Drosophila melanogaster: one gene and its partner. The protein of the gene in region 2 interacts with the protein of the main gene of each other region in a pairwise test. Each region holds a gene or a part of one and is shown on either strand. Other genes may lie near its edges. The genes, in order: CG32188 and Paip2.

Evidence for each region.
Region 1: the proteins of Paip2 (region 2) and CG32188 interact in a two-hybrid assay, tested with the Drosophila melanogaster proteins (one large-scale study listed by BioGRID).

The regions. Positions count from the first base shown.
Region 1 is NT_037436.4:17,832,777-17,835,156, forward strand, and holds CG32188 (uncharacterized protein), read right to left. Parts: upstream 850-2,380; 5' UTR 819-849; coding exon 501-818; downstream 1-500. Other genes in the region: CG32189 (uncharacterized protein), read right to left, coding at 2,048-2,365.
Region 2 is NT_033777.3:12,979,028-12,983,174, reverse strand, and holds the start of Paip2 (polyA-binding protein interacting protein 2), read right to left. Parts: upstream 2,130-4,147; 5' UTR 1,788-2,129; intron 1-1,787. Other genes in the region: CG7091 (uncharacterized protein), read right to left, coding at 2,758-2,922, 2,979-3,220, 3,357-3,639, 3,698-4,006, 4,065-4,147.

The DNA of each region.
Region 1 (2,380 bases), on a different chromosome or scaffold from region 2:
TTCTTGTAATTGGTCTGCAAATTCGTATATGCATTGCATTTAGCGCATGGCGCCGACGCGCAAGTAGCCGCCTATTAAACTTGGGTGGGTCCGAGGTGAAAATAGAGTAAGGTAATGGCCTCAGGACGCATCCTTGAGTTACGCCGGCATGTTTGGGGTCTTTGGTGGCAGGGCTGCAGCTGTCCACAGGCACAGAAAGTGTGCGGTCCGTCTAGATTTGTATACAAGTCCTTCATGCCAAACGAGCGACACGGTTTTTTCAAGTCCTTTTGTACAGCCAAATCGGTGATGGGGGATATGTGCTTAAAAGTACATGATTAAGCACTCCTATTAAAGGGAGGCGCCATATTTCTTAAATCCAGGTTGGTTTATTTGCATTTAAGGTTACTGTTCCCACCATGTACATTCATTAGAAGAATTTTGGAAATGCATATTGGTTTTTATTTTATAAGGGCTGGTAACAACATCAAAGCCGATAATTATTTACACGGCTTCGAAGTTTAGTTGGCCGTCCTGCGAACTCGTACAACAACCCGTCGGCGATTGTCTCCGCTCTCACTTCGTCCTTCCCTGCCACGGCGGATGATCACGCGCCTGATGATGACACGGCGGCGTCGGTGCTTCTTCTTTGTGGAGGCAGTGGTGGTCGTGGAGGATTCGGTCGTGGTGGTGGTGGACGAATCAGTTGTTGTCGTAGCAGCCGTGGTGGTTGTGGCCGAAGCACTTGTGGAGGTGGTGGTTGATGTGGAGGACACCTGGCTGCTGTGGAGGATCAGAACGACCAGGACGGCCAGGGAGAGAGCTAGTAGAAAGCGCATGACGATAGGGTTCGTAGAAGATCAGGAACTAATATCAATGGACCGAAAAAATGGATATTTATAGAACCTTTGGGCCAGGGACTGAAAGTATTACGTTTTTATGCAAACACAGATGTGCCCCTTGTGAATATTTTTGGCCATTGTTCCATTTACAATACCGTCTATTATTTATCGTGCTTTGCTAGGGTTATTACCACCTGTTTGGACGTTAATAGTAATTTTGTTTTCATGCATTACTTTGAGGTACTTGAAGATAGAACTTTAAAGTTTGTGCGCTTTAGCGTTGGAGTGGCTACGTTTTGAAACAAACTATCACAGCGTTGGCGTCATTAGAATCTGCATGCTTATTCTTAACTTCCTAATGACTAGCTCTTTCTTAAGGACAGACAGAAGGGCTTGCTAAACTTGCTTAGTATTTATTTAAAATGACAGGTATTACACTTTTTTAAAGTTCTTTACTCAAAGACCCTTTCAAGCCTTTTCTTTCTTAAGATATGCCAGCCGGTTTGAAGTACGTAGAGTACACCATTCAGATTTCGAAACACATTTCTTTCGGGATTAAGCTATCGAAAAGTTTAAATTACTTGCATTTTCAGCTTTGACCTTAAAGATTACCCTTAAAGACCTTAAAGGTTACCCTATTACAGAATCATTCAGTGTCGAAATGCACCGAAAAATTGTATAATGACAACTCCTATATAGTTTCATTTGCAGACTTCATGGTCATTAAACTAAAAGATTTGCATATACACTCCAACAGAAAAGACCTTTGTAGGAAATATTTAGCAGAATAATAATGTTTTACAACTTGTATTTTTGTATAGAAATATACAATAATTTTTCATCACATCGTCACAGCAATTTAGCAAGGACATCAAAATCAATCTAAGGACTTACCATTTCAAAGAATCATCATATAGGATTACCGTAAGGATCATATTTGCAAGGAATAATTTGTGAAATATCTAAATGTGGCGCTTCTGTGCTCCTCCCTTAATATATTATAAATATTATTATAAAATTAGCTCTGTTAGCCGGCGCGCCCAAATGGGCAGAATTAATAGAAAAGAAGGACACAAAGGGGCTCCAAGATTTCCCCGTATGCCTTAATAAATAAATTTATTAATTTAAAAAAAACACGTCATCATCTCGATAGAAAATAATTTTTCAATGATTTATTTTGATTGACAGCAACGGGCTTTAAAGAAAATAACCATTAATCTGGTGTTTCAGTTGGCCGTCCTGCGAACGCGTACGACGACCCGTCGGCGATTGTCTCCGCTCTCACTTCGTCCTTCCCTGCCACGGCGGATGATCACGCGCCTGATGATGACACGGCGGCGTCGGTGCTTCTTCTTTGTGGAGGCAGTGGTGGTCGTGGAGGATTCGGTGGTGGTGGTGGTGGACGAATCAGTTGTTGTCGTAGCAGCCGTGGTGGTTGTGGCCGAAGCACTTGTGGAGGTGGTGGTTGATGTGGAGGACACCTGGCTGCTGTGGAGGATCAGAACGACCAGGACGGCCAGGGAGAGAGCTAGTAGAAAGCGCATGACGATAGGGTTCGT
Region 2 (4,147 bases):
AGTGATGTCTATTTTTTGCGTTGTGGCCGCGGCACACAAAAATTTGAAAACAAAGTGACTCAGCTTTTGGTGCAAAAGCGAAAAGAGCCCCAAATAAGTGGACATACTTGTATGCTATATACATATAATGTAGTCTATAATTCAGTACTACATCCGATTAGAAATGTATAGGCTCACAACTCGTATCACTTCTAGCCCCGCTAAACATTTTATGGCGTATATAAATGCCGCTATCAGCTAAAAACAAACAAGCAAACGTGTGAAATAACACGAAAGTCAAGAGCGGTATTTATGCAAAACGCAATAAGCCAAAGGCGATGATTGTCATCGGAGGAGTTTGTGGGCTTAGCTATCATGTTGAACGTGCCTGTAACGTTCGATTGTGTACATATTTTTATAATACAGTTTTAGGACATTAATATTTTAATCACGTAATTTCATTCTTTTTTACTCTGCTTACAATATTTGCGCACTAATAATTGCACGTCAGTTTAAGAGCAAATGTTTGACATTTTTTATGAATTGTTTGTATCGAAAATAATATATTTTGTTATTTATTTTTATTGAGGGCCTAGTTCGTTACCCGCGGCTGTGCGAATATTTGTTTACAGTTCTCCATACATAGGCAAGTTTTGCGTGAATGTTTATTCCACACAAGATAATGATTACTCTCCATTCTAGATTTTTATTGCCTTTGGTAGGTCAAATCGCACTATCAATAAATTGAATTTTTTGCGTCTTCCAACTTTTACTTATTTATTTATAAAAATCAGCTGCTTTTATCAGCAAGACAAAGTGCTTGGAAAAAAGAAGTTAGGATGGCAACTCTGGCCCTTTACTGGTGTACGTGCTGCCACACACACGCACACGAGTGAAGCACATCGAATTGCAAGTAGATGTTAAGTTAAGCGTCCATATTTTAAATGAAATTGCGAAAATTAAAATGTATTTGCACGGCGGACTTGACGAAATTCGTGCATACATTTAGTATGTAAAGTGAATATGCAGAAAACACAAAGGAGGCAACAACAAACACACACACAAATGGGCTCTCAAGTGCAGTGGTGTTGGTGTGCCCGATTGAATGAACCTCCCTCAACCCAAAAAAAAGAGCAACAACAGCAGCGGCAATGATAATACATACAGCGCACTGTTTCATTCAAGGTAACAAGTGTTTAAAGTTTAAACATTAATATTCTTGGGGTTCGTGTACTTGGAGTCTAGCTTGGCCCACGCACACGTACACAGGAAGAAAAAAAGTAGACTTCTAGCATTTAATGTTTTATTTGAAGTACACTCAAGGCAATAAATCACTTTACTTGGTAATTATAAATTCGAATTTCTACTAGTAGGTTTGAAAGATGATATATGTATATGTATATGTTAGGCATATGAAATGATTTTAAATTTTATTATATTGAGACATTTTGAAAAGCAATTGACTTTTATACCCTTGTATTGTAGTTAATTAACTGATAAAGTCATAAACTTTCTTTGTGATGTGCAATAAATAGCCTTGATTAATTTTATTACCATGTTAAACGAAATTTTTTCAAGTGTAAGTAGGGAACACCAAGGTAATGTCCGATCCGACACTTGGCCTTTATTGATTTGTCCAGAAGCGGTTTTAAGTGAACGTTTAAGTGTTTTGGCGGAAGCGCCAAAAGGTAAATGAAAAACCAGGAAGCCAAGTTCTCTGACTTCCGCCTTTCCCCGCGCACAAATAAATGTATATACATATGTACAATGTTTGGGATTATTTAATTTGTTTAATCCGATCTACTCACTCTCAATCCTGCCGAGAAGTTCGTCCGCTGTTGCACTGGATATTTTGGAGCCACTTCCTCCGGGAGACTTGTTGTTTTTATCGATGATGCTTGATTTTGTTGTTGAAGAGACTCTCCGTTTTTTTTTTGGGTTGTACTGAGAATTTTGCGTCGCTAGAAAATCGAGGAAAACACTGGTAATTTAGTGTTGCATCCAATCCAGATTGAGTCCACACGGAGAATTTTGATATTTCTATTGCGAAACGTATTCGACTATGTGCTGTGTGCGGAATCACGTCAGTGAACGTCAAGCAACCGAATTGAAAAAAAATTGAAATGATTAATAAAGCAAGGTGGAGAAACATCGATGGCACTATCGATGCATCGATACTCCCCTGCGACTATCGATGTCTTTCCACCTATATATAGTATAGCACAAAGAGTTATAGCATACGCTTTCTAGAAATATTAATACTTTTCCTAAAGCATTGTGATATATGCGATTTAGCACCATTAAAGTAGGTAAATGAGCTATTTCTTCGTCTTACAGTTCTCAGCCGGGACTCAAACCAAATCTATGCGTCAAATCAAACAGCTATCGATTGGCGTGTAAAGAATATGAGCATTTAGTACATTGACTGCCAATAGATGTCTGCTTTCACACATATTTTTGAATTATTGAATATTTGTGTAATTTTGTACTTGAAATGTAGAAAACTGGTCGTTGTGAAACATTTGTCAGCTTGCTTTATACAACGGTAAAACTATCGATAAGATTGAAAGATACTATGTGCTAGGCGCGGTTTTTAAAAATTTTATTTGAAGATTGCGTTGAAGAAAGTTCAATTATCATTTTAAACTAAATTGATATGTATATTGTATATTTACATTTATTTTGTTTTTATTTTAACACAATTAACTCTACATTTATAGTAAACAAATAAAATGCTTCGAAAGTACAAAAAAGTTAAAACATTTAAACAAATAAGTGCTAACTATTTGATTCCTGAGCACTTGGTGATGCAGTTTTCTCCATTCTGCTACGAGGATCCCAAGGTTGTAGGTTCGTACTGCTGCAAAATGCAAATACCAACATGGCCATCGTATTAAAGACAATCAGCGTCATCAACACCACATTCCACTCATCCTTGCTGCCCTGCGAGGTACATAAATAAATCAGTTTAATCATAAACTACTTGTATTTAAACTTACAGTGTGGACCAGAGCGGCCACAAGATGGGGAGCTAAGAATCCGGAAAGATGGGCCATTCCATTGGCCAATCCCGATAGCAATCCCGCGAAGGAGGGCGCAAAGTAGAGCAGCGTGGGCCAGTAGCCACTGAAACCCATATCCGTAGTGGCCATCATGAAGGCAAACATCACAAGTACTAGTATTTTGTCATCACAATTAGCCAGGATGATGACCCCAATCAAAGAAGTGGTCAGGATGCTGCCTGGTATTATAAAATGGGATATAAAAGAGAGATTGGTGATGTTTCTGGAGATGCTACGGAAATCTATATAGGAATCCACTAAGGGAAGGTGTTCTTTATAGATGTCTGTGGCACTCCGATTATCGGTATGCCTTACAGATCCCGTACAGCATTCTTCGCACACAATTCTGGTCAGGACCCACGCGTCGTTCCACATAGCTGCCACCCAGGATGCACATCACCTTCGAGCAGATCCCGCCCAGATACGGCGCCGCCGAGAGGAAGCCCACCTCGCGGAGATCGAACTCCATGGCCTCGCGCATAAATCGCGGCATCAGTTGCACAATCACCAGGAAGGTGTAGGTGTGGAACATGTGGGTCAGGATGAAGGCGTAGACGGGCGGCGCGGCGAGCAGGCTCTTCCAGGGAATGGTTACCACCTAAAAAGAAGCTAATTAATTTATAATTTTAAAGTTAAAAGTACAAGGAACTACTCACTGGCTGCCGCTGCTGTCCCAATTGACTCTTGCCCTGCCTCAGGTAATCCACCTCCTCATTCGATATCCTTGGATGTTGCTCCACGGTGTCGTAAACGAGAAAGCAGCAGGCAATGCCGAATGAGAGGCCAACTCCACCGACTACATAGAAGGACAGTTCCCAGCCGAAGTTGCTCAGATAACTGGCCACCGGGTAAACCAACATGGAGCCCATCAGAAGACCACTGTAGGCGAAGGACAGGAGCGCTGTTCTCTCTGTGGGATGAGCCCAGGTCACGAACAGTTTATACATTGCCGGATTTCCACAGCCCTGTCAAGTAGCAGGATCTATATATATCTATTAGTATCTGAATGATGCTATTCCTTACCGCCAGTAAACCACAGATGACCAGATCAACCACTCCGGCCTCGAAACTAGAGTGCGCCATTGCTGGGAGCAGTATGTAGGCCA